4 linked regions of the Elephas maximus indicus genome follow. The protein of the gene in region 1 purifies or fractionates together with the protein of each later gene. This does not show direct contact. Links are inferred from orthologs where the notes say so. Each region holds a gene or a part of one and is shown in the gene's direction. Other genes may lie near its edges. The genes, in order: ISG15, FLNB, HERC5 and ENO1.

Evidence for each region.
Region 2: the proteins of ISG15 (region 1) and FLNB purify together in Homo sapiens (affinity purification with mass spectrometry; 3 studies listed by BioGRID and IntAct, with this or other methods). This does not show direct contact. The link is inferred for Elephas maximus indicus from reciprocal best matches to the Homo sapiens genes ISG15 and FLNB.
Region 3: the proteins of ISG15 (region 1) and HERC5 purify together in Homo sapiens (affinity purification with western blotting; 3 studies listed by BioGRID, with this or other methods). This does not show direct contact. The link is inferred for Elephas maximus indicus from reciprocal best matches to the Homo sapiens genes ISG15 and HERC5.
Region 4: the proteins of ISG15 (region 1) and ENO1 purify together in Homo sapiens (affinity purification with mass spectrometry; 4 studies listed by BioGRID, with this or other methods). This does not show direct contact. The link is inferred for Elephas maximus indicus from reciprocal best matches to the Homo sapiens genes ISG15 and ENO1.

The regions. Positions count from the first base shown.
Region 1 is NC_064821.1:39,589,868-39,595,442, forward strand, and holds ISG15 (ubiquitin-like protein ISG15), read left to right. Parts: upstream 1-3,928; 5' UTR 3,929-4,025; coding exon 4,026-4,028; intron 4,029-4,471; coding exon 4,472-4,936; 3' UTR 4,937-5,060; downstream 5,061-5,575.
Region 2 is NC_064838.1:62,571,942-62,579,307, forward strand, and holds the start of FLNB (filamin-B), read left to right. Parts: upstream 1-4,350; 5' UTR 4,351-4,536; coding exon 4,537-4,828; intron 4,829-7,366. UniProt on the Homo sapiens protein: Connects cell membrane constituents to the actin cytoskeleton. May promote orthogonal branching of actin filaments and links actin filaments to membrane glycoproteins. Anchors various transmembrane proteins to the actin cytoskeleton.
Region 3 is NC_064823.1:66,893,130-66,900,329, reverse strand, and holds the start of HERC5 (E3 ISG15--protein ligase HERC5), read left to right. Parts: upstream 1-4,192; 5' UTR 4,193-4,429; coding exon 4,430-4,718; intron 4,719-7,200.
Region 4 is NC_064821.1:48,284,423-48,291,903, reverse strand, and holds the start of ENO1 (alpha-enolase), read left to right. Parts: upstream 1-4,468; 5' UTR 4,469-4,594; intron 4,595-6,887; 5' UTR 6,888-6,896; coding exon 6,897-6,981; intron 6,982-7,481. UniProt on the Homo sapiens protein: Glycolytic enzyme the catalyzes the conversion of 2-phosphoglycerate to phosphoenolpyruvate. In addition to glycolysis, involved in various processes such as growth control, hypoxia tolerance and allergic responses.

The DNA.
Region 1 (5,575 bases):
GGAAGCCAGGCACTCAACTGCGAGAGACCAACACCAGCATAAGGTCGACCCCTGTGAGACAACGTCATGAGAAGGCTCAGCCTGGTCCCCGGGGTCCTAGGAAGAGGCTGGCTTGTCATCTGGCCTACTTCTGGCCTCTCTGCTGCTCACCCAGCTGAGAATCACTCTGCACAGGAAGCAAGAACTATTTCTTTAATGGGGTTGAAGGTTTCGCATGATCCTGGAAAGAGCTGAATTAGGCAGAGTTGGATGAAACAAAGTCAGACCCATTTCTTGGTGTGGTGCCAGCCTTGTTCCCCATCTTTTAGGCCCTGTCTTGGATTGAATTGTGTCCCCCAAAATTTGGCTAGGCCATGATTCCTGGTATTGTGTGATTGTCCACCGTTTTGTCATCTGATGTGATTTCCCTGTGTGTTGTAAATCCTGTCACTTTGATGTAAATGAGATGGATTACCGGCAGTTATGTTGATGAGATCTACAAGATTAGATTGTATCTTAAGCCAATCTCTTTTGAGATATAAAAGAAAGAAGCGAGCAGAGAGACATGGGGACCTCACACCACCGACAAAATAAGCACCAGGAGTATAGCTTGTCCTTTGGACTTGAGGTCCCTGTGCTGAGAAGCTCCTCGACCAGGGAAAGATTAATGACAAGGACCTTCCTCCAAAGCCAACAGAGAGAGAAAGTCTTCCCCTGGAGCTAATGCCCTGAATTTGGACTTCTGGCCTCCTAAAAAAAAAAAAAAAAATCCTAGACTGTGAGAAAATAAACTTCTCTTTGTTATAGCAGCCCTAGATGACTAAGACAGACCCTCAGTCAGTATTTGGTCGAAGAATGACCCTTGAGGGTCTCTGGTCAGCCAGACCCATGGAGAGGGGAGCAGGCAGGAGGGCAAGGGGGTAGGAGGGAAATTGAGAGGACATCACTGACCAAGGCCACTGTTTGGAAGGGCAGCACCGCAGGGTTTGCACGGGAGGAGGCAAGGGGCTGTGTGTGAGTATGTATGCATGTGCACGTATCTGGCAGGCTAGCTTTCCAGGGGGAAGACACACAGTCACTTCTGTGAGGAGCCCTGGGAGGGGGGAAGGACACAGGGTCCTGGGGTCACTGAGAGTCTTTGTGCAGGCAGAGCTCTCACTCTAGCTCTCTCTCAGGCCCACTTGTTGGGGGGTCAACTGTTCTGTGAGTTTGTCTCCTTAATGCCTTTGAGTTTGCTCCTCCTGTCAAAAGCAGGAAGGAGATTGGAAGACATGGGCTAACAGAGCTAAAAAAAAATGAACATTTTAGTGTATATGCCAGCACTCAGAAATCAGGGGACAGGCACATCAGGTTTAAGGATGCTCACCGGAGGGGGGACTCAGGAGGATTTTTACCTTCTGCATTCTTTGTTTCAATAAAAGTGTGTGGTTTTCTTTTTGCAATACCAATATCATTTATGCAAGAAGAAAATCAAGATATAAACCTAAAATAACAAAAAGAAGGAAATTAGGCATCGCCATTTGTTTCTTGCATGTTAATAATTTTGGTGTCCCATGAGATTTTTCATGAGATTTTGGGGGGGGGGCAGGGAGTCAGATTCATATTCAAAACACTTCTCCCCCCATATTTTGTGTTTCTCTTCACAAATCATTTCTAGCTAACTTAAGCCTGTTCTGTACTATTCATAATAGTAAAAATTTGAGCATAACCTAAATAGCCAAGAATAGGGGATTGGTTAACTAAATTACACTCTATATTGTAATGAATTCATTATTCTGATCAAAACATATGCAGCCATTAAAACAACTTGTATAAATATATATTACTATGAAAAGATGTTTATGATGCACTGTTTCACGACCAAAGCAAATTATGAAATAAGGAGTCTTTTTTTTTTTTGCAAGCATTTCCTTTATTGAGGTAAGATTCACATAACATTAATCATTTTAAAATGTACAATTCAGTAACATTTAGCACTTTCACAGTGTTGTACAGCCCTCACCTCTATCTAGTTCCAGAACTTTCTCAGCACCCCAAAGGAGGCCCTGTACACGTTTACAGTCACACCCCCTCCTCCCAGCCCCTAAAAAGCCTAATCCACTTTCTGTCTGTGTGGATTTACCCATTATGGCTATTTCATATAAGATGTCCTGGTGGCTCAGTGGTTAAAGCTCTCAGTTGCTAACCATAGGGTAGAGGTTGGAACCCAGTAATCGCTCCATGGGAGAAAGATGTGGCAATCTGCTTCTGTAAAGATGACAGTCTTGGAAACCCTATAGGAAAGTTCTACCTTGTCTTATAGGGTTGCTAGGAGCAGGGATCAACTGAACAGCAATGGGTTTGTATATTTCACATAAACAGAATCAAATAATATCAAAGAACAATCTAGCTTCCTTCACTTAGTGTAGTGTTTTTAAGGCTTATCTACATTGTAGAATGTATCAGAACTTCATTTCTTTTTAGAATATTCAACATTTTGTTTATCCATTTATTCACTGATGGACACTGGGGTTTCCACCTTTTGGCTATTATAAATAGTATGGCTGTAAACATGCATGTAAAAGTATTTGTTTGAACACCTGTTTTCATTTCTTTTGGGTGTGCATCTAGGAGTAAAATCACTGGGTCATACGGTAATTGTATGTTTCACTTCTTTGGGGAAACTCTTTCACAGGCTACACTATTTTACTTTCCCACCAGGAATGTAAGGGGGTTCCTAATCTCTCCACAACCTCACCATTACTTAATTTCTGTTTTCTTTCTGTTTTTAACGTAACCATCCTAGTGAGTGTGAAGTGGTGCCTCATTGTGGTTTTGTGTTGCATTTCTCTGACTCATGATGCTGAGCACCTTTTCATGTGCTTATTGGCCACTACTACATCTTCTTTGGAGAAAGGTCTATTCAAGTCCTTTGCCCACTTTTTTTGTTTGTTTTTTTCATTGTACTTTAGATGAAGGTTTACAGAACAACCTAGCTTCTCATTAAAGAGTTAGTATACATATTGTTTTGTGACGTTGGTTACCACCCCATGACATGTCAACACTTTTCCTTCTTGACCTTGGATTCCCTATTACCAGCTTTCCTGCCCACTCCTGCCTTCTAGTCGTTGAGCCAGGGCTGGTGTGCCCCTTTAGTCTTGTTTGTTTTATGGCCTGTCTAATCTTTGCCAAAGATTACAAAAAAAAAAAATTTTTTTTTTTTTTTTAATCTTTGGCTGAAGGGTGAACCTCAGGAGCGACTTCATTACTGAGCTAAAAAGGTGTCTGGTGGCCTGACTATTTTTTAATTGGGTTGCTTGCTTTTTTGTTGTTGACTTGTAGGAGTTCTTTGCATATTCTAGGTATGAATTCCTTATCAGATACATAATTCAAAAATATTTTCTTCCATTGTGTACGTTCTTTTTTCACTTTCTTGATAGTGTCCATGAGTTGATTTTTTTTTTTTTTTTGTAGAAAATATAACATACATCTGTTCATTAAAGAAGGGTCTGAACAGCTCTTATCCTAAATCAATGGTGGTAATCTGGGTAGTTTGGATTGTCACTGTTTTATGTTGTTTCTGAATTAAGCAAGGCAATGTGCTACGAATTTACAAATTGGTAAACTGAAAATGAAAATTTCTAGTCATTAGTTCACACTGTTTTGACATTTGTGCATCTTGTAAGGGACCTGAAGTGCTGGACATCTAGGGAGTTTCTGAATGCATACTCTAGGGGATGGGGCAGGATGGGGCATGGGGTAGGGATGGCAGTGGAGGTGGGGAGGGATGCTTCTGAGCCTGGGAACTCAGCTCTTTCCCTGTACCGTATTTTCCCCGGCCTTTCTGTTTTGTTTCTGCCGCTCACTCAGGGGCATGGGTTGGGAAAAGGAAACTGAAACTGAATCTGAAGGCAGCCTCTGGCCGGCTCCTCTCCCTTGATGCCGCCCCATGACGTGTGCTGTTCAGGCCCATAAAAGGCAGAGGATGTAGGGCCAGGGGAAGTGGGAGCCAAGAGGCAACAAACTTCTCTGTGGCTACGGAGCACCTAGCACCAGAACCCACAGCCATGGTAAGGCGGGTTTGAAGGTGGGAGGCAGGTGGGTTCAGTACCAGCTGCTTCTCTGAACTCTTCCTTACTGTGGGGCCTCCCGGGGGTGGGAACCTGCTGGGTACAAGATGCTCTGAGGCTATCAGAGGTTGCATCCCAGTGTGAGGAGGGACAGGCTCCTGGTGAAGCCAGAATTTGGATCTTAAAAGGAGGGTTTGTCCCAGACGCCAACCCTGGATTCCCTGGGAGTAGAGCATAGAGCGGGGCATCTTAGCAAGGGAAGGGGCAGGATGGCAGGGAGACCAGCCCTCCTTCTGGCAATGCCTCCCTTCCATGGCCCCCATCCCTGGGGTTCCTTGCCTGGTGGGTGGAGAAAAGTGAGAGGAGGGGCAGTGGCCCTGGGTTCTAGGAGCTTGCCCTGGGACAGCACCAGGCTGCTTCCTGAGCCACTTGATGCCATGCAGGGCTTCAACCTGAAGGTGAAGATGCTGAGTGGCCAGGAGATCTTGGTGCCCGTGACGGCCTCCATGCTGTTGTCGGAGCTGAAGCAGCGGGTCTCGAAGGAGATAGGCGTGCCTACCTTCCAGCTGCGGCTGGCCCATTCAAATGGCACAGTGCTACAGGACGGAGTGCCCCTCATGGACCAGAGCCTGGGCCCTGGCAGCATGGTCCTGCTGATAGTGGACAGCTGCGAGCCCCTGAGCATCCTGGTGCGCAATGACAAGGGCAGAAGCGTTGCCTATGAGGTCCGGCTGACCGACACTGTGGCCCAGCTTAAGCAGCAAGTGTGCCAGCAGGAGAGGGTGCAGGCTGACCTCTTCTGGCTGACCTTTGAGGGGAGGTCCCTGGATGAACAGAAGCTATTGGGGGACTATGGCCTTACCCCCAGGTGCACAGTGTACATGAATCTGCGGCTTCGGGGAGGCTGAAGAGGCCCCAGGGGACGCTGAGTTTTCTGCCCTCCTGAGGGGACTGGAGGAGGAGATACCTGGGGTGCCCACTCCAAGACCTGCGGGCTTCCCGTGCCAGTAATAAAAATTGATGCAAAATGAACTGTTGGCCTCCTGCTCTGTCTTGCCCCTGCGTCTGTCTGCCCCTATTCTCCCCACCGCTGCTGGGGAAAAGCAGGAGACTGTGGGGGGAGGGGACCCAGGGTCGCTGGGGGTGACCAGGCCAGGGTTACCAACAAGGCTCTGGGTTAAAGGACAAAGGTTTCACACTGAGAGCTTGGTGGGCTCAAAATAGTGAAGAAATTGAAGTAAGACATGTCGGCACACGCAAATTAACTTTAGAGAAACAAAAGGAGGAAACTTTGTTGGAGCCCATGCAGGTGAGTGTTCTCCAGCCCTGCACAGCTGCCCCCCACCTGGGAAGGTGTGGTGGTGGGTCCCCAGGACGTATCCTGGTGGTTGTGAGGGAGGGAGGCCCACACCAACTGGGGCTGAGGGTCTCTTGGCACCCCAGAACTGACCAGCCTGCCTTGTCCTACTTGCATTAGTCTGGGGAAAGGTCTGGGCAGGGGTTTGATGAAGGCCGAGCTGCCCAGTGGAGCCAGTACCCCTCCCTGG
Region 2 (7,366 bases), on another chromosome or scaffold:
GGACCTCAAATTGATTCCATGTGCAAAGACTCTATTTCAAAATAAAGTCCTATTCACAGGTACCAGGGGTCAGGAATCGACTCGATGGCACTGGGTTTTTTTTTTAGGGGTCAGGACTCCAGCGTATCTTTTCTGGGGAGACAATTCAACCCACAGCAGGTCACCATAATATTGTCTTACAAGATATTATTGTGATTAAGTTCGCCTGCTCCTTTTTACTTCTGTTTTTGATTTGGCTACTAGAAAATTTAAAATTATGTGTGTGGCTTTCATTATATTTCTGTTGAACAGCAAAGGCTCCACCAGGTCTGCAGTGCAGTGAATTACTTCACGTGGCCTTTCTACCCATAGCCTTTGTAACTCCCACTAAATGGCTGGGTGGAACTATGCAAATGAGGTGCTTGTGGCCCACCAAGAGGATCGGACAGCTTGCTAATAATGCAAATAAGGTGCATAACACCCTTGTGGGGGTGGAACCACACAAATAAGGTGGATGGAACCCTAACAAGGGGATTAGTCAGTTTTGCCATCCCACTAGGCTTAAAAAAAGAGCTAATCCCAGAGCAGAGGGGGACCTAATTACCACCAAGGAGAAGAGACAAGGTTGGAACATGTCCTTTGGACCAGGGATCCCTGCGCTGAGAGCCTCCTAGACCCAGGAGACAGATGGAGGGAGCTGTAACATGGAAAACATGGAGAGGCAGGGGCGTGAGATGGCAGGAACCAGGAGATCCGCCTGAGACGGCTGCGATGGGGCTTGCAGACCCATGGAGCTAAGAGGTGTAGTACTTGCCCCAGAAGGCCCCTGCAGGGCTTGGCGGCAGAGGGCGAGAAGCTGTCCTATTTGAGGAACTGTGTCCTGAGTTGTTATTCTTGTTACTTCCAAGTTGATTCCGATCCTGAGTTGTACCCTCTTACCTCCCTAACAAATCACTTAACCGTAAATACGGTTCATGTGTTCTGTGAGACATTGCAGTGAATTAGGGAGCCCAAAGACAGGAGGGAGAGTGCTGGGGGTGGGGGGGAGTAGTTGATGTTAGAGATGATGGAGTGGCACAGCAGCTTGGAGAAGTTGGACATTTGGGACATCTTTAACCTGTACCTCATAGGAATAGCTTTGTGCTTGTTCCTATAAAAGAAATTGTTTAAGGTCTTAAACTCCAGGCTGGATGCTGCAAAGGGACAGAGATGACAGGACAGGAGCCTTGCCCTTCTTCAGCAATTGACCACAGCAAACGGCAACTGCACTTCAGCCCAAAACTCTTACCGTGACTCGCATGTGCGAATGAGGGGCCAGAGTCTGTGCTTCCACTTCTACTCCCTTCTACTCTCAGGGGTTCCACCAAGAGACCAGGGAAACCTGTGACCACGAGTATGAATGGGAGGCCTGGAAAGCACCCGCTAAAATGCTCTCTGCAGAAATGCTGCGTTGAGGTTTTGGGGCCTCATTTCTTTTCAAATATTGATAAAGAGTCATCTGAAGATCTGTCTGCATTTTCCCTCATTTCTAAAGCCACTGGCCACCCCTCCACCCTGGCTGTTGAGCCCCCCCCTCCTAAAAATCACTCTAGAGAGAACTTCTGGAGCCCTAGTGGCACAGTGGTTAAGAACTTGGCCGCTAACCAAAAGGCTGGCAGTTCGAATCCACCAGACGCTCCTTGAAAACACTATGGGGCAGTTCTACTCTGTCCTATTGGGTCGCTATGAGTCAGAATCTATTCGACAGCAACAGCTTTGGGTTTGGGTTTTTAGAGAACTCCTGGAGTCCCTGGGCAGTACAAACAGTTAAAGCACTCAACTGCTAACCAGAGGCACCTCGAAAGAAAGGCTTGGCCATCTACTTCCAAAAAATCAGCCACTGAAAACCCCATGGAGCTCAGTTCTACTCTCACACACAGGAGGTCACCCTGAGTCAGCATCGACTGAATGGCAACCGGTAACTGGTAGAGAACTCCTGGGCTTCTTTCAGTAGTGTGATGAGAATCACCTGGTCTGTCCCAGGACAGGGCTGTCTCAGCTCAGAGTGAAGTAGACTGGATATTTACATGCAGGGCTTATTAGTTGAGCCAAGGCATAGTAAAACAGAAACAGAAGAAAGGAGAAACTTAGCACATTAGCAGCTGCTGAGTGGGCTGAGTCGATGACATTAGCTTCAGTCTCACCTAGCAGGGAGGAGGTCCCTAAGGGAGTGAGACACTGGCCGATAAGTTTTGATGGATGAGTTTGGGTGGAGGAACGCATGAGGCACTGGGAACCTTGGGCACAGGGAAGGCAAAGGTTACCATCTGCCTCTAGTGAATTCACTGTTCAGGGAGCCCATTGTGTGGACAAAGGCAAGTCCCAGGCTGGGGGGCAGCATGGGACCCTCAGGCAGAATACTTTGGAGTCAGATCCAGGTTCAAATCCTATTTTGTCTGGTCTTTACCAGCTGAGCTCCAGCAAACCTCTTCACCTAATCTCTAATGAAGGAAATGAGCATTCAAATATTTATGGAGACCCTGCTACGGGCCAGGGCCAGGTAATACACACTCTCACCCCCAGCCGGTTGTGAGCACATCCAGCGAGCAAGGCGATCTTTCCAAGCAAAGCACTTCAGTGTTGTATGCGTTCACCCACAATCTGCTGGCCTCTCCTGGGCAGCCCCCAGGATTAGAAGCTCTTGATCTCTGTCCTGGTCAACCCCTCTTCCTCCAGGAAGCCTGCCTGCCCTGATCCCCTTCGCCTAAGCCTGGATTAGGTGCCACTTCTCTGGTCCCAGGGCACCCTATGCCTCTCTCTCTCCCCTCCCACAAGAGACTGAATCTTGCAAGTCTTACAGGCTTGATTCTAGTTCTAACTGTGCTGTGGGGCCCTGTACCAACCACTCAGTTTCCTCTTGTCAAATGGGGTCAAGGGCATGGAAATTGCTTACATAGTGCCTAGCACAGGTACACAGTAGGTGCGTAATAAGTACAAATAGTTATTCAAGCTGTTGACAGCAGAGGCCTGGCCTGGGTCTCGGCTGTATTCCAGCATGTAACTCAGAGCCTGGATGAGTACAAGAGAAAGTACTCAGTGCATGATGTGGCAGACAGAACAATGGCCCCTCAAGGATGTCCATGTCCTAATCCAGGAAGCTGTTAATATGTTACCTTATATGGCAAAGGGGAATTAAAGTTGCTGATGGACTTAAATTTGATGATCAGCTGTCTTTTAAGATAGAGAGATTATCCTGGATCATCTGGGTGAGCCCAATGTAACCATACCCAATAACCAGTTGCCTTTTTGTTGACCCAACTCACGGTGCCCCATGTGTGTTACAGTAGAACTGTGCTCTCCACGGTTTTCAATAGCTCATTTTTTGGAAGTAGCTCGCCAGGCCTTTCTTCCGAGGTGCCTCTGGGACAAAACACCTTTCAGTTAGCAGCTGAGTGCAATAACTGTTCTCACTACCCAAGGGTTCTGTGTAATCACAAGGTTTTTTTTTTTTTTTTTAAGAGTGAGCATAAAGCGTGGCTAAAAAAAAAAAAAATTTTTTTTTTTTTTTTTTTTTTTTTTATGGAGATCCAGAGAGATGGCAGCATGAGGACTCGGGCTGAGGTTGCTGGCTTTGCTGATGGAGAAAGGTGCCACAAGCCAAGGCACGTGGGTGGCCTCTGGAAGCTGGAAAAGGCAAGGAAACAGATTCCACCCTAAGGCCTCTAGAAAGGAATACACCTAGCCAACATGATTTCAGCTCAGTGAGTCATGTGAGGGGCATCTAACCTAAAGAACCGTAAGATAATAAATTTGTGTGTGTGTGTGCGTGTATTACTACTACCACTAGCTGTGATTGCTGACTCCTTCTTCTCTTCCGAAGTTAGGGAACAAGCCTGCCTTGATGACCACTGGGCGATACGTGCTGAGAAGAGAGGACCTACCAGACCGTCGGCATTCAATAAATGCTATTGATAATATTATAACTCATATGATTATAACTCATATAACAAAATGTGTTTCCCTCACGACGTCTCCCAGTCCCTAACATGGTGCCTGGCACACACAAGAGCTCAATAAAAACTCTTATTAAATCTATAGATGGATGAAAAGCCCCTCTCCACCGGCACCTCCCCCATGACCGACACCACGGTCCCCGCCCATCCTGTCCAGCCCCCTGCCTTCCCACCACCCAGAGCCAGTTGCCGTTCTCCTTAAGGAGCCCTAAGCCCCTTGGCCAGGAATCCTGCCTGAGCGCGAAATGAGGGTTACCAGGACGACTCGGAACGGGGCGCAGTGCCCACTATGGGCAGCAGGGGGCGAGCGCGGCCCGGGAACTCCCGCCCGAGGACGGGGCGGGGCTTCGGGGGGCGGGGCGGCTTAGCGCGCAGGCGCGGGGCCAGGGGCCTCTTGCGGCCAGGGGCAGACGGCGCAGAGCAACCCCGGCCGCGGCTCCGGTAGCAGCAGTGAGTTCGATCCCCGCTCCCGCACCGGCTTTAGTTCGCGCTCCCCCGACCCCTGGGCCTCCCGACACCAGTTCCCTGCAGCTCTCCGCGTCCTATCCCTCCTCCCGCCGCCAGGATGCCGGTAACCGAGAAGGACCTGGCGGAGGACGCACCGTGGAAGAAGATCCAGCAGAACACGTTCACGCGCTGGTGCAACGAGCACCTCAAGTGCGTGAACAAACGCATCGGGAACCTGCAGACAGACCTGAGCGACGGGCTGCGGCTCATCGCGCTGCTGGAGGTGCTCAGCCAGAAGCGCATGTACCGCAAGTACCACCAGCGGCCCACCTTCCGCCAGATGCAGCTCGAGAATGTGTCGGTGGCGCTGGAGTTCCTGGACCGGGAGAGCATCAAGCTCGTGTCCATCGGTGAGCACCCTGACCCGGCCAGGCTGCGGCCCGGGGTACCATCCGGGCCCCGCGCGTGCGCCCCCGCCGCTGGCAGGGGCTCCCCAGAGCGCGCCCCCACCACACCCAGCGGCCGCGGGCTGGGTGTGGGCGCGAAGGCGAGAGGAGTCGGCCCCCGGCGATGGGGGCGTAGGCCCTAGGCCCCTTCCCCGATACCGTCTCCGGGGCTGGGACCTCCTTCATGTGCCCGCTCCCCGCCATGCGCCCCGGCGGTGCGCCTAGGCTGCTTGTGGGTTGAGGGCTTGGGGTGGGGCTGCAGGGGGAGTGGTGGGAAAGTGGCATTTCTTCGCGCCTGGGGCGTCCCTGAGGGAGTTGGGGGACTGGAAACCCCTTCGTCCGCCTTCCCCGGGGGCGAGGCGCTAGTCAGATGCTCCGCGGAGCGCTCTCCCCGCTGCGCCCAGGCCAGTGCGCTTGGCGGCAGCGGAATGGGCGTTGGCGCGAAGGCCGGGGGGCGAGGGAGACCTGGGGAGGAACCGTTCTCTGCGCCTGGGGTCTCCCAGCCCAGGTGGAGACGGGCCCTGGTACCCTCCCCGCCGTCCCCGGAATGGGTGTGGGTCCCGAGATTGGAAGGAGAGCCGTGGGGGTGTGTCCCTTCTGGCTCTCTCTGCTCGCGGCTCGGCTGTGGCCCCGCGCAGCCCCGGGTGAGCCCGCTCTCCGAGGCTGAAGTTGTAATTGAGAGGTGGTGGAGATAATGGTGACTGCTGCGGTGTACGGAGCCCAAACTAGCCCCGTTCTGTGCTAACAGCCTTCAAAATGATTTCCATCCTTAGACATCGTGAGGGCTGGGGTCTCTTTAGACCGTCTGTTCAGATAAGGGCGTCAGGGACTTAACTGACGTGCCTAGGGTCACCCATGTAGCGAGAACCCAGCTGAGAATTGAAGGAAGTGGGCGACAGTTAGAAGGAGGCTTCTCGTTCCTCTCCGCCCTCCCCACACCAGGGTCTTCCTGAGAGGAGGGAGGTGTTGGTGTCTGGGTTCCTCTCCCCCTCCGCTGTAGAAGAAGAAGCGGGGGTAGGGTGAGGCCTCCCTCATGACCTGGGGCAGTTGGGGCCTTCCAGGAGGATGGCAAGGCTGCTGACGAAGTGGGCTGTGACGGCAGGGGGAAGGGTGTGTGCTGCGTGTGTGCGCGCGCCCGCGTGCACGCACCAAAAGAAAGTGTGCGGATGTACACGGCTGAGTGTGCAGTGCTTATGTGCAGAGAGATTGTGTGCGCATGTACACTCTACCTATGTTTTGTCAATTGAGGCCTGTCAGGGAGCGGCTGTACCTCCTCCTCCAGGCCTGGGCCTGGGGTCTCTTCGAAAGAAGTTACCCCAATGCTAGGAAGAGAAGTGGGCGTGGCTGCTGGGACTTTCTCCTGCCAGAAAGGAGTTCCCTCTAGGCTGGCCTTCCCTGGGCCCCGCCCTCGCCTTCCTTCCCCCACACCTGTCTTGGCGGGTAGGGCTTCTTCCTGTTTCCTGGGCCCAGATGGCTGCCACCTGCCCTGTTGGTCTGGCCTCCCAGCTGGGCTCCCAACAGGGCTTCTCCACCCCCCATGGCCACCCCGCCCTTCTCTGCAGAGGGGAGCTTCGTGGGGTGCTATTGTCTTCTTTTTGAGGGCCCGTCTCCTCTCTTGGGGAGAGTTAGCCTCAGAATTCTCCTGGAATTCCTTCTTTTCCAGGAACCACCCTCCTTCTGAGGAATCTCAAGGCCTGGCCAGGCTCAATTTAGATCCTTTCTTCTTTGTTTTAAAAATGTGTATTTATTTAATTAACTGAAGAAAGAAAGCAAACCATGACTTGAAATCTCTTTTAAAAAAATGAGGGGGAAAAAAAAAAAAACCCACACCACCAGAAAATCCCAGATTGCCTAATTTCGCCAACTGTTTGCAGAGGCTCTAGCTTAGATTCACATCATGCCTGAAGCTTGTAGGTCTCATTTTGGACTTTATTTGGTCCCTTGCATTTTTCTGCATGGTCCTCATGGTTTTCATTCCTGAACCAACCCAGGTCTTAGTGTCTCCCATTGTCTTGACATTCCAGTGTCAGCCTCTCCTCGGCCCCCCGCCACGTGGGCTGTTGGCAGCTTTTTGCTGTGGACCCACCACAAGTTACATTGTTTTATTTGTTTTTTTCCTTTATAATTATAATTATTTCTTTGACCTTATTCCCCAAAGTGGCATTCTTGGGGCAAAGGGTGTGACCATGTTTATGACTTCTGTTATTGACTACCTAGTTGCTCTCCAGAAAGATCTCACAGCAAACAGATTTTCCAGCATCTTGGAGACCCGGAGGGAGACTTGCCAAATGGCAGAACTCCTGCAGGGGTAATGTCTGAGGCCTCCTCCCTGTACTCCTGGAATGTTCTTGGTGATGGCCCTTCAAAAAGTCACATCCAACTTGGACTTCAGTTTATGTATTGACTTCTTATGTCATATTGCACTGTGCTGACTGTGGCAATACTCCAATTTTGGGGCACCCAGTGGTGCTGGGCACTGTCCTAAGTGTGTTCCATTGACCA
Region 3 (7,200 bases), on another chromosome or scaffold:
TTATAACAGTATTCATATACTCACCGTATGACCAGGTCCCTGGGTAGCGCAAATGGTTTTCACTAGACTACTAACCTAAAAGACGGCGCAGTGTTTCATTTTCTTATACATAGGGTTGTTGTGAATCAGAACTGACTTGACGGCACCTAACAACAAAAACACTAACCTAATGTTTGGTAGTTCGAACTCAGTCATGCAGTAGGAGAAAGGCCTTGTGAAATCCTTTCACTTTTGCCAAGAAAACCCTATACTCTATAATACATGGGGTCTCTGTGAGTCAGACTCACAGGCAACAGTCTTGGTTTCTACCATATGACACAGCAATTCCATTTCTAGGCATTTATTCAAAAGAAATAAAAATGTCCACTTGAGGACTTGTTCACAAATATTCATAGCAGCTCTATTCATTGTAGCCAAAAACTGGTGAATGAACAAACAAAAAACTGGTGAATGAATAAACAAATTATGTTATATCCATATGTCTTCAGCTGGGTTCTCTAAAGAAGCAAACCCGGAGAGGCGTATATATAAATATGTATAGAGAGATTTATCTCAGGGAGATAAAGCACATGGCTGTGGAGACTGGTAATTCCCAAATCCATGAGTCAGGCAAAAGGCTGGAGCCTTCTCCTGATTCTCATGGTTGCAGGGCCTGACGAACCCAAGATTGGCAGATTGGATGATAAACTGTTGGTCCACAGGGCTGTAGAAGCTGATGAATCCCAGATTTGGCAGTCAGATGGCAGGCTGGCTCACAGGGCTGTGGAAGCTGATGAATCCCAAGAGCTGCAGGTCAGGTGGAAGTCTGTTGACTCACGGGGTTGTGGGAGCTGATGAATTCCAAGATTTGCAGCTCAGGCAGCAGGCTGCTAGCTCACATCCCAAGAACCAGAGGTTAGAGGATGAAGAGTCAGATGCAGGATCCAGAGCAGGCAAGTGAGTTTTGCCAGAAAGTCCATATGTATATTGGATGCAGGGCATACCTCCAAGGAAACTCCCCTTACAACTGATTGGCAGATCACATCAGATCATGTCATGGAGGATGACTACATCATTACATAACCACCAAACCAGTAAGAGTCATGGCCCAGCCAAATTGACATACAACCTTAACCACCACAGTCCACCCCTTGTCAATTTGGTACCTGTACACATCTCCTTAAGCCATATACAATCTCTCACTAACAAAAACTCAGCGCGATCGAGTCGATTCCGACTCATAGCAACCCTAGAGGACAGAGCAGAACTGCCCCATAGAGTTTCCAAGGAGCGCCTGGCGGATTTGAACTGCTGACCCTTTGGTTGGCAGCCGTAGCACTTAACCACTACGCCACCAGGGTTTCCATACAATCTCTAAATAAAGACAATTACAAAGCCATACTTGCACCTAATGTGATGCAACTAACATGAGTACAATAGAAAACACACTAGCCCTGTTTACATCTTCTATTTTATAAGAGAGGAAAGAAAGCAAAAATAATTGCTATATATACATGTGTATATATATATATGTACACATATAATAAAACAAGGAAGAAATACTCATAACAATAATGATAGTGCAACTGGCCATGTGGTCGCAACTGGTATTTACAACTACCGTCTTCTACCACCCATTCCGTATTCCCTTTGCCCTCAGCAAGCACCTCAACCAGTCGTGGTTCTTTGCCTGGTGAGATGACCCAAACCTTCATTCCTGAAGGGTCTGGGCCATTAGTAGTCATGTTGGAATGGGGTTGCCATAGTTTTCCATTGACTTTAATCACAGGGTGTGGTAGTACTAAGAGATGTCCTAAAGGATCTCCTGTATTCCAGACATACTCTTCTTTACCTCTATTATGCAACATCAATCCAATTTCCTCTTAGTAACCAAAAAAAAAAAAAAAAAACCCAAATTAATCATTGAGCCAGCTCGGGGTCAATCAAATCAGCCAATATTGTTAATCTTTCTCCCAACCTTCCCCAAAGGCATCTATGGCCTTTTATGAGAGTGACTGTTTATTGGGGAAAAGGAAACAATCAGACTTTTCAGGGATTATTGGATACTGGCTCTGAACCGATACTAATCCCAGGAGACCAAAACATCACTGTGGCCCACCAGTCAGAGCGGGGGGTGTATGGAGGTCAGGTTGTTATTATTGGAGTCTTCACTCAGGTTCATCTCACAGTGGGTTCAGTGGGTCTCTGAATCCATCCTGTAGCAATTTTCCCAGTTTCAGAATGTATAACAGAAATACACTCAGCAACAGGAAGAACCTCCATATTGGATCCCTGATAAGGGGAGTAAGGGCTATTATGGTTGGAAAAGCCAAAAGAGAGCCATTAGAACTGCCCTACCTAGGAAAATTGTAAACCAAAAGCAGTACCACATTCCTGGAGGGGTTTCAGAGATTAGCGCCTCGGGTATAGCAACTCTCCAGCTCCGTCATATTTTAGTCCATAAGCACCTTGATCGCCTTTCCTTTCCACAAGGTGTCACACTGGTCAATTACATTGATGACATTGTGCTGATTGGACCTAGTAAGGAAGAAGTGTCAATGACTCTGGACTTAATGGTAAAACATTTGTATGCTAGAGGGTGGGGAATTAATCCCACAAAAATTCAGGCACTTTCCACCGTAGTGAAATTTCTAGGAGTCCAGTGGTACCGGGCATGTCGAGATAGTCCGTCTAAAGTGAAGGATAAGTTGTTATATCTGGCCCCTCCTATGACCAAAAAGGAGGCACAATGCCTGGTAGGCCTCTTTGAATTTTGGAGGCAACATATTCTTTCTTTCCCTCCAATTTCTCCCATTTGTATTGGAAATGTCTGCCTTGTGCCCGTTCCGCCATTGTACTTTGGAGACAGATAACTTATAGCCTAGATTTCACAGGTTCACAGATGAAGAGGAATTTTGCCACAGGATGGAATATACCAATATTTGATTTAGATGATTCAGAAGATGAGGTTCTGGACTTGGAGTTGATTTAAGACTTTTGGGATGATGTAATGATGGCAAGGACATGAATTTGGAGGGGTGAAGGGTGGAATGTTACAGATTGAATTGTGTCCCCCTCCCAAAATACGCGTCGTAAATCCTAACCTCCATGCCTGTGGTTATAATCGCATTTGGGAATAGGCTGTCTTTGTTATGTTAATGAGGCAGGATTAGTATAGGGAGTATTTTGAGTCAATCTCTTTTGAGATATAAAAGAGATTAAACAAGCAAACTTTAGCAAGCACAGGTGGGAGAAGATAGATGCCAAGCCATACGGAGATACTCAGGTGAACCATGAAACAAGCTGAAGAGACAAGGATTTCCCCCGGAGCCAAGACCCCTAGAGCTGGTGCCCTGCATTTGGACTTGAGACTCGTTAACTGTGAGATAATAAATTTCTGTTTGTTAAAGCTATCCACTTGTGGTATTTCTGTTAGAGCAGCGCCAGATTATTAAGCCACACCATATAATGGAATATCACTCAGTAATAACTAGAGGAATGTACTAATTAAAAAAAAAAGTATGAATCTCAAAAGCATTATGCTAAGTGAACAAAGCCAGACACAAAAGACTACATACTGTATAATTCCATGTATATGAAATTCTGGAAAACCGTCGAAGCAAGTGTATAGAGACCCAAGTTTGTTAGAGGTTGGGGCGGGGGAGGAGAATAGAGGGACTCACCGTTTAGAGGATACTGAGTTTCTGTTAAAGGTGATAGGAAAATTTGGACACAGATAATGGCAATTCATAGCACTGAATTGTACAACTGAAGAATGCTGATATGGCAAATGATTTGTTATGTATAAATTTATTACAATAAAAAATCAAACAATTAAAAAAAAAATCTGTTTTGACAGAAAGCAGATCACTGGCGCCACTGCCTGGTAACTCTCTTACCGCTATCCTGTGGCTTGAACCTGGAATACAATGCTTAACAAACTTTAAATTCGTTATCACAATATTCTTTGGAAAATGGCCTCCAAGTGGAATTGCAGTGTTTCTTTCAAGGCCATTCAGTCCAGAAATTTAGGTAACCTCTGCTCGCCCGAGGAGAGCTTCTCACTCCTGTTCACCCATTTCATAACCCGCCACGGGTTTGTTTACTTCGGTCGCCTTCCAAGCCAGTTCTGAAATCATTTGAGTTTCCCTTTCGTTTTCCGTACTCTTGAAAACAAAATCAGTTTCGTTTCACTTGAATTGAGGCCCCGCCCCCAAACAGCAACTTAAAAGCCCGGCATCTGAGCAGAGAGGAAGTAGAAGCCTGCAGTCCCTCGACGTCGCCCGCACACTCCTGCTGTGCAACGCGACGCCTGGAGGCAGCGGTCGGACGCAGACGTTGTTCGTCTTGCCCTTCCCTGTGGCGGGTTGGCGGCTGCAGCTCCGTTTCCCCTCAGGGTCTAGAGAGCCGGGGGGCGTTTCTGGAGCCCGGGAGAGCAGCGCCGGGTGCGATGAAGCGGATGCCACGAAGGAGGTCGCGGGGCCCCGAGCGCCCAGCGCCCAAGCCGAAACCCGCATCACGCCCCGGCGCGCGCAGCTCCGCAGCCTTTTCGGACCCGAGGGGCGCGCAGCTTTGGCTCTTCCCCAGCTCGGCAGGCCTCAGCCAAGCGTTGTCAGGGAGGTGCAAGAAGACGCGCCAGATCTGCTGCACGCAGGACCGGCTGGCGGTGCTGGAGCACGGCGGGGCCGGCGTCGAGGTTCACCAGCTGCCGGTGGGGAGCCACAGCGCCGGGAAGCCCAGTGAGTGGGGCGGCCAGCGCCGCTCGGCCTTCCAGCCTCGGGTCGGGGTGTGCAGGGTGGGCGGCTGAGGGCCGGTGCCTCAGCGTCTGCCTGGGCTGGGGCCGGCGCGGACCCTCCTTTTTATAAGCGTCCAGAGTTGGAGTGTGCGGTCCTGTTCTCTGAGCGGGAATGAGCGCTCCGAAGGGGACCAGGCGCTACAGCGGTCCTCGGCTGCCACAGAAACTTGCCGGGCTTCAGCCATTGTCCCGTTTCGCAAGTGCAGTGCACCTGAACTCTCCTTTATCCCTGTTCCCAGTTTGCGCAGTTTGCAGAAAGTTGCCGAGAAATAGATCGTCCCACCTGTAAGTTGATGAGGTGCGGAGGGAGTATGCAGGCAGCATCTTCATCTTTTCTTGGCCAGTGTTCTTGTATAATGTTTCTTTTTAGAGCTCCCCACCTCCTTACTCGGAAACTCTGGTGGCATAGTGGTTAAATGCTATGGCTGCTAACCGAAAGGTCAGCAGTTCAAATCCTTCAGGCGCTCCTTGGAAACTCTGGGGAAGTTCTACTCTGTCCTGTAGGGTTGCAAAAGTCGGAATCGACTCGACGCAACGGGTTTGGTCACTCCTTCTTAGGACATACCTGCATGGATTTCGTGAGCCTTTGGAGAATATAGTTAACTTGTTCTCAATTATATTACATTTGCGAGCAATTTAAAGAGTGCTTTCAGTTGCACCTCTCGAAATCCCCTGTCAGCAGAGATAAAGTCAGGTACTGTGGTTCGATTTTACAGGTAGTTGTGTGCCTTGAGGGGATTCCAACTGATAGCGACCCTATAGGACAGTAGAACTGCCCCATAGGGTTTCCAAGGCTTTAGGAAGCAGACCTCTACATCTTCCTCCCTCAGAGGAGCTGGAGAGTTCGACCAGCTGATCTTTTGATTACTTAACCACTGCGCCACCAGAGTTTCCTGATTTTACAGGTAAACGAAACCAAAACCTTGCCTCGAGTCAATTCGGACTCGTAGCTGCCCAATAGGACAGAGTAGACCGCCCCGTAGGGTTTCCAAGGAGTGGCTGGGGGCCGATGGATTTGTGCTGCTGACCTTTTGGCTCTTAAACCACCAGGGCTCCAACTTTACAGATGAGAGAAAGTAAACACCTGCTTTCTTCTAAGAGTTTTATGGTTTCAGTTCTCACATTTAGGTCTTTGATACATTTTGAGTTAGTTTTTGTATATGGGGTGAGGCATGGGTCCAGGTTCTTTGTTTCGCTTGTGGAAATCTGGTTGTCCTAGCACCATTTATTAAAGAGAAAATTCTTTCCCCATTGGATGGACTTACCACCCTTGTCTAAAATCAATTGACCGTGCATGTACAACACCCACATTTTTTTAATATTAATGTTTATTGAGCTTCAAGTGAATGTTTACAAATCAAGTCAGACTGTCACATGTAAGTTTATATACACCTTACTCCGTACTCCCACTTGGTCTCCCCCCTAATGAGTCAGCCCTTCCAGTCTCTCCTTTCGTGACAATTTTGCCAGCTTCCAACTCTCTCTATCCTCCCATCCCCTCTCCAGACAGGAGATGCCAACACAGTCTCAAGTGATCCCTTGATATAATTAGCTCACTCTTCATCAGCATCTCTCACCTACCCACTGACCAGTCCCTTTCATGTCTGATGAGTTGTCTTTGGCGATGGTTCCTGTCCTGTCAGCAGAAGGTTTGGGGACCATGAACGCAGGGATTCCTCTAGTCTCAGTCAGACCATTAAGTATGGTCTTTTTATGAGAATTTGGGGTCTGCATCCCACTGATCTCCTACTACCTCAGGGGTTCTCTGTTGTGCTCCTTGTCAGGGCAGTCATCGATTGTGGCCGGGCACCAACTAGTTCTTCTGGTCTCAGGATGATGTAGGTCTCTGGTTCATGTGGCCCTTTCTGTCTCTTGGGCTCTTAGTTGTCGTGTGACCTTGGTGTTCTTCATTCTCCTTTGCTCCAGGTGGGTTGAGACCAATTGATGCATCTTAGATGGTCGCTTGTTAGCATTTAAGACCCCAGACGCCACATTTCAAAGTGGGATGCAGAATGTTTTTATAATAGAATTATTTTGCCAATTGACTTAGAAGTCCCCTTAAACCATGGTCCCCAAACCCCCGCCCTTGCTCTGCTGACCTTTGAAGCATTCATTTTTATCCCGGAAACTTCTTTGCTTTTGGTCCAGTCCAGTTGAGCTGACCTTCCATGTATTGAGTATTGTCCTTCCCTTCACCTAAAGCAGTTCTTACCTACGAATTAATCAGTAAAAAACCCTCTCCCACCCACCCTCCCTCCCTCCCCCCTCGTAACCACAAAAGTATGTGAACACCCACATTCTTAATCTTTGAAATTTGCTTAATTGGCATCTTTGAAAAAATGGAATCTTCCTGTTATTTGTTTTGCATTTTGAGTGCAATCGAGCATCTTTTCATTTTTTTATTGGTCATTTGTCTTACTTTTTGG
Region 4 (7,481 bases), about 8.7 Mb from region 1:
CCGGGTCCTCTTGACTCTGTCCTCCTTAATCTCTTCATTTGTGCACACCTGACAAATGCCGACCTCACATGACTTTGTTTAAAAACTATACCGCGTCCTCCCACCTGTCTCCCTGAATGTATGCTGTGTTTCTAGGGTAGCCTTGCCCAAACCCTGCTTCCTACAGCTGACTTTGTCATCTTTGAAGAAGGCACAAGAGTGGGCTGTTGATAGTAGGAAGTCCTAAGAGGTGCCCCAAAGCCATAGTAGAGTGTTGACTAGGATTTACAGAGAGAAAAAATAAGTTTTTTTTTTTTTTTTTTTTAAGTGAAGGACTCAGAAAGGGTGGTAAATTGATAATCGGAGGGGGCTTAATCTGTAGAAAAAAAACTGCAAGGAAAGAGCTGAATTTGATATTTTGTTTTCAAACTGGGTCAGAACTCATATGCTGCTGGTTGGACTACACAGATATACAAACACTTTAGAAAATAAAGGTGAAGAAGCGTATACCCTATGACCCAGCAGTTCCACATCTAGGCATTGTTGTTTTTGTTGTTAGATACCATTGGGTTGGTTCTGACTGATAGTGACCCCACACAAAACAGAACAAAACACTGCCTGGTCCTATGCCATCCTCACAATTGTTGCTATCTATGCTTGAGCCCATTGTTGGAGCCACTGTGTCAATCCATCTTGTCAAGGGTTTTCCTGTTTTTTACTGAGCCTCTACTTTACCAAGCATGATGTCTTTCTCCAGGGACTGATCCCTCCTGATAACATATCCAAAGCATAGGCCCTAGAAAAACACTTGCATCTGTGCTCAGGACACATTTGCAACCAAGTTCGTAGCAGCATTATTCACATTATAAAGGGAGAAAAAAAAGTGGATACAACCCAAATATATGTTGACAGGAGAATATGTAATATTCACACAATGGACTGCTATGCAGTACTGACAAAGAACCACCTACACTTCCACACCTATGGGGTCAACATGGACTGATCCCACAAACATCAAGTTAAGCAAAATAACTAGCAAAAGACTATACGCAGTGTGATGCCATTTATATAAAGTTCAAAAAACGATTAAAAAAAAAAGCCATAAAGAAAAGCAAGGGAATAATAAACACAAAACTTAGGTTAGTGGTTATCAAGAGGGATACACAGGGGGCCTTAACAGCACTGCTAATGTTCCATTTCTGAAGCTAGTGGTGTGTCCACAGACATTCATTTATTATCCATGAGTCGGAATGGACTCAATGGCAACTCACAACAAAACATATAATCCTTACATAGTCTTTGGTATATATAAAATATTTAATGATAAAAAAACAAACATGAAAACCTCATGGCCTATTATGAGGAGGGACATAGATGCCTCTGAGGGCCTTCTGTATGTATCTGATCTCTTACCTCCCTGGACCCCTCATCCTACTCTGAAGTTTGGAGAGCTGCTTTCAGAAACAGTATGTCCCTTTCTCCATAAACCAGCGTTTTCCAACCAGTGGTGCACATACCACAGATGGAATCAATAATCCAGATGGGTCCTTGTTGTTAGCTGCAGTGGAGTTGACTCCAACTTGGTGGCATCACTAGGGTGCAGGGGGTACAGACCACACTGGTGACACTTTCAGAGGGGGTGACACCAAAATGACTTGCCTATAAAATTTTTGTGCAGTGTTTCAGCAGAAATTTATTTTTATTTTTTAAAAAATCCTGTAGTTAGTTGTAACAAAAGCATTTTTCATAAGACCAGCTTAACCCACTCCCACTGCCATCAAGTCGATTCCAACTCATAGCAACCCTACATCTATCAATATACCTACAAGGCTAAAGCTCTATGCAGATTTACTTTTTGAACCTTCTAATGCGCACCAGTCAAGGTTGTCACTGTTATGCAATTACAATGACACCTCGAATGATGTGATTTTGCCAGCTACGAGCACGCAATGTTGTTTTCTTTGCTGCCAGTGTTTTTACAGTTGTTGATTTTGTCAAATTTGCCGGTGTTTTAGCTACAATATTGTGGTATTATTTGTGAATCTATATCTATAACTTTTTTGACAATGAAGTAATTAAAAAGAAAAAAAGGCTTCCTTTCAGTTACTAATAATGTTATCACTAATAATGTTTTAATTCGATGTAGAAAGGCTACAAAATAATTTTGTTGTTAGTACTCACATAATCTAAGAAATTTTATAATTAAGCACTTTACAAACTATATTTATCACATATTATCTTATGATTAAAACTGAGGTCCACGGGGGTTGGGGGCGACACCATGAGTTACTGTACTGGGTAACACCACTGTTCCACAAGGTCTTCAAGGCTGTAAGTTTTCGGACCTTGATTTGTAAGCTTTCACTTAAAGTGCAATAAAATTAAAAAAAAAAAACCTCCAACCTTTTTGCTAGCAGTCAAGTGCTTAACCATTTGCACCATTGAGGGCCTCAGGTGGGTCATAGGCTGCTGCAGATTCACCTGCCCTCCATCCAAGCGCTACCTGCAGATCTCCTGCAAGACGGCCTGCATCGCTTCAGGTATGGTATGCTGATAGTAACCTGAGCACCACCAGCAAGGCGAGTGCCCTTGATATGCCACGCAATAAAATTGCTCAACAACCTCACTTTAAAGGGCATCTCCAATAATCATTAATGTTTGAACTACAATTTGAGGTTCAAGTGCTGGCTCATAATGGTGAGCTGTGGGCTCCAAGAATCTTGCAACAGCAGCTGACTCAGATCATGTTCTGCATTTGGCTTCCTGCTAGATTCACTGGTTCTGGCCAGCCAGCAGTTATGAGGGCCTTGATTATCTTTATCTCTAACAACGTTGGTGTAAAGTAAAAGGGATTGTTTGGAGCCCTTTCAGGGCCACGCCTTAGAATTACTCTGAAAATAAGAGCTCTAAATGTCTGATTTCCTTGGAGCCCTTACAAGGCTTGAGAGATGTTGGCTGTGATGTAACTGCTGAGTCATGGGACTCAGATACCGGTTTCCAGCAGCCAAAAACGGCAGTGGTGAAATCACGAACATTGCTTGCAAAATTCATATAATTCTTTAGCGAACCATGTTACAATCTCCATGTTGTGTTTTTGCTGAATTTAATCTTAAAATTTTTGTTTCTTAGTCAATGGAAAACAAATACTGTGGACCCCATAGGCCTTCATCTTTCCAATGCTTTGAAAACCTAAGCTTGACAAGAAAGATGCTAGGAGTTAAGGACGAAAAGCAGTTTTAAGAGCTAATCAGAAGAAATACTAAATTCAATACACATTTGAATCTTTCTATGCAAGGCAATATGGGAAATATGGAAATCTATTACATTGTTTAAGACCTCACACTCACAAACCAGGAGGGCCATGGAGAAAATACAAAAATAACTGTATTAGAACACGAAGTGACCACTCAGCCCCTCCTTGGGGTGGGGGATGTGTTGCAGAGCTGACTTCTTAATGGTCTATCAGATCTTGATCACAATGGCAAAGTCACTGCACCTACCAATTGTTTCTTATTTGCTGGACCACTGTGGAATATTGCTTACTGTTCTGTACTTTAAGAAATTCCTCTCCCAAATCATTACATTTATAGTTCGCACGAATCCCTCGAATTCCATAGATAATGGAAAGGGAGGGATACGAAGTCTCCAGTTAAAGGTGAAATAGTAACAGGCACTAGTGTATGAATTAACACTGGGGAAGCATGTGGAGATGTGCCTGGCACAGAGTAAGAATACTTGGTTAAGTATTGGCTATAATTTATGGAAGACGAACCTTCCTTTCAGCTACCTTGCCTGATCCTCAATGTCAAGCCGGCGTGGCAAGGTGAATGGGGCAGGGTCACCTTGGGCTTGACACGCGGGTGCCTGACCTCGTTGGGCACGCGCACAGCGCACTGCGCGCTGGCGCAGGCAGGCACACGTGGCCTCCTGGACTCAACGTGGCAGACTTCGCCGCGGTCAGGTCCAGGTCGTGGGGGTCGTGCGCCCCGCGCGGTCGCTCAACGCTTCAACTCCCGGGCACCGAGTTCCGGGGCGGGGGAGGCCCGGGAGGCAGGCCGGGAAAGGGTGCGCCGCGAAGGTCGTCACCAAGGTCGTAGCCAAACGTGCGGCCCGGAGCAGGAGCTACGCCGAGTGCGTGCGAGACTCGGAGTACGTGCCGGCGCCCCGAGCCCTCATGCCCGCCGCGCCACCCTGCCCCTCCCAGGCCCCGGCTCCCCAGGTCCCTGTTCTCCTCAGGGGTCCCCACGGGGAGCGGGGCTCGCCAGGATCCCCGTATAGCCACTAGGGAGTCAGGTCCCCAGTGTCCCTAACCCAGCCCTGCGACCCCAAGTCATCGCCCCCAGATCGAGATCGGTGCGGCAGCCGCAGCCCCGCCCCTTCCCGGGAGGCGAGGACCTGAGTGGCGGAGCGCTTAGCCAATGGCGAGGCGGCGCGGACGGGGCCGGCCCCGGAGGCGGGCACTGGGCGGTGCCTCCTAGGCGGGCAGGAAGTAGGGCGAGGCGGCGAGCAGAGGATCCCGGGGAGTTAGCGAGGTCGCACGCAGTTGGCCTAACGCTCGTCTTGGTGTCTGCAGCACTCTCCGCTTCCTTCCTGCGCCACGAGAACCGGCGGCTAGGTAAGGACTCCTGCCAAGGGAGCGCTCGTGCAGGTGGCGTGTGGGTTTTCCTCGACCGAGCTTGTGGGAGCTCCCTCCCCGCAGGGACGTGGCGTGCGGTGGGTTCGGGCGCGGACGGGACCGATGGGGACATGCGCGCCGACTTCCCGCCTCGCTCTCCGGCGAGTGTGTCTGGGCACTCCGCAGATTGAGTTCGGGCCGCTCCCGGATGCGCTCGGAGGCCTGCGGTGTGCCCTGGCAGGACCCAGTGCCCTTCCTGCGGCCCAGGGGCGCGGGTGCGGCGCTAGGCGCACGTGTAGGGCGCCAGGTTTCTTTGTAGGGGAAGATGCTGATCAGCACGTGATTACGGAGTGAAAGGCCAGATAACTGTACTCGGAGAGTCCGGACTAGAACACGCAAACCATTTAGGATATCTGGCGTCGTGGGTGGAAGGCGCTTCTCTATGAGTAGCCAAATGGAAGGTTTTTGGGGAGGGATACAGACTTTGCGCGGGTGATAATTAAAACCAGACCCTTTTTAAAATGGAGGAAGGGACGGGGGGAGATGCCCAGAAAGCTGCAGTTCCTCTTCTCCCCACCAGTAGCCCAAGCGTCCCACTAGTGCCTCAGGGCCTGCAGCTCGGCGCCTGGGTGTCCAGCCAGCCATCGCCGCAAAGGCTTATATAATTTCTAGAAGGTGCTTCTTGAGGAAACTGCAACAGTTCCGGTGGATAATGGGGACGCCCTTAGGCGACCTCGCCCGAGTCAGGCGAGTACCCTGCGCCTCTCCCCGACTTACTCCCTGGAGGGGCCCTCGTGTGGCATAAAAAGATTTTATTTTTTATTTTATTTTTTAAAGCTGCCTGTTTCCTCCACACTGGTCTTGACTCCTGGGAGGTGTGGTCTGTTGGTTGACTTGCTCCAGGTCACTGCCCCGTCCACTTGTTTTGCGCCTGATAACGGGATTCAGTCCAGACAGAAGTGATCACGAGCCGGTTTGCTGTCTCCCTGCTCGCTGAACTTTAATTACTTCGGAGAATGATTTTTCTATAAATGTAAAGGTGTATTACATTTTATTTGCACCTCAAATTTTAAACAAATTTGCCCTTTTGGGTGATAGTATGTAGAAATTAGATACTTTTTTATTGGCTAGTGAATAAAGCTCCATTGTTACACAGAAGTGACTTGGGTATCAAATTTTGAAACTTACAGTAGATTAAAAAGATAGGATGCCAGTTGCTACTTCAGAACATTCCAGAGAAGATGTTAGAGGGAAACCCAGCTAGATAACGGTTTTTGAATAATAATTCATTTCTTCTCATCCACTTCACTTCAGGTTGAGTTAGTTTCTTCCTTAGAGAACTCCTGGGGGGGGGAAGTAAGAAAGGGGCTTTTGGGAGGACTTGCTATTTGCTCTTGGTAGCTGTGATTCCTTTTCTTTTTTAGGTGCGTTTTCAAAGGAAGCCCCTTCCATTGGCGTATGCTGGTGTTCAAAGACAATCTTTCTTCCATTTACAAATCATAACATTTCAGAATTGAGTTTTTTAAATGGGGTAAAATTCCCTTTGGGAGAAATACTAACTAGATGTCATTATTAATGTGTCCTATCTAAAGATGCGAATACTGGGAAATTCAAAAGGCCCAGAAAGTGGCAGTAACAAAGAGCACGGACCAAGGAGCTCATCGTTCCTGAGCACCAAACTCAAAATTGTAACTGGATATCAGTTGAATATTCTACTTCTTCCTCAAACACTGACCTTAATGAAATATGCCCCAAATTTTTAATTCAGTATTCCATTATAAGCTTGGTTTTCCTCCTGCATCCCTACCTTGTGGGGGGGGGGGGGGCCTGGCCTAGATGGTTTTTCTTGTGAGTTTCATGCCCTTTCTTCCTCTGCCCTTAGGTTTGGGCTTGGCCCTTTTCCGTTTCCATGCCAAGCCTCGTAAACTCTCGACAGTAACCAGTTTCAGACTCCTCTTAAGCCGTCCTGTATCCGCCACCACATTCATCTTTACAGGTGGTTTTGGTTTCTCCCTGGTGTGCACATGCTTTGGCCTTCTTTGTTCTGCTTACAGGACGAGACCTGAACTGCTGGTTTAGGGCCTTCCAAAGCTGGGGCCAACCTACCTTTTTAGGAGCAATTCCCATTACTTTGCAGCAGACTTGTTTCCACTTCACCTAGCCTTCCTACCTGCAGCATTTAGTCCAGTGCAGCCATCTTCTAGTCCAGGAAGCCTCGGAGGCAATCCCTTGAATGAATGAGTAATGAACACATTCTGGTTTATGGAAAATATGAACTGTGTTTCCCCTACAGAAACTCACCATGTCTATTCTCAAGATTCACGCCAGAGAGATCTTCGACTCCCGTGGAAATCCCACTGTTGAGGTTGATCTTTATACTGCAAAAGGTATGTGCCACTTGGATTCTGTGGTTCTTTAGTCACGCACCATCTTTAAAACCTACTTAAATTCATAGAGCATTAGACCAAAAAAAGCCTGTTGTGAAAACCTTTCTTGTGGTCTGTACATACTAGTCGGTTGTGATTCCTGACTTGGTGGGGAGCAGGTTATAAGGCAAGGAGTCCTTGACTCCTGGATGGCATTTAAAACAGAACATAGGTTGGCTCCTAGGTCAGTGGGGTAGGGAAGTAAGGTAGGGCCTTGTCCCTAAGAGGTCCCATCACTAGTTTGCTTCTCAGCTTTCTGTGACCAAATAAGCAAAAGTGGTTGTGATAGAATGATCTTCATCCCTTGATAAGGAAGGAGATTAGGGGAATGCAAGCAAGTGCAAATATAGCACTCTTAACTTTCTTTCCAGAAATCACCTTTAACCAAGGGTGGAGAACCCAGAGGCTCTTATTTTTACTGGGCTTTTTTTTTTTTTTTTTTTTCTTAAACCACTGCTGTA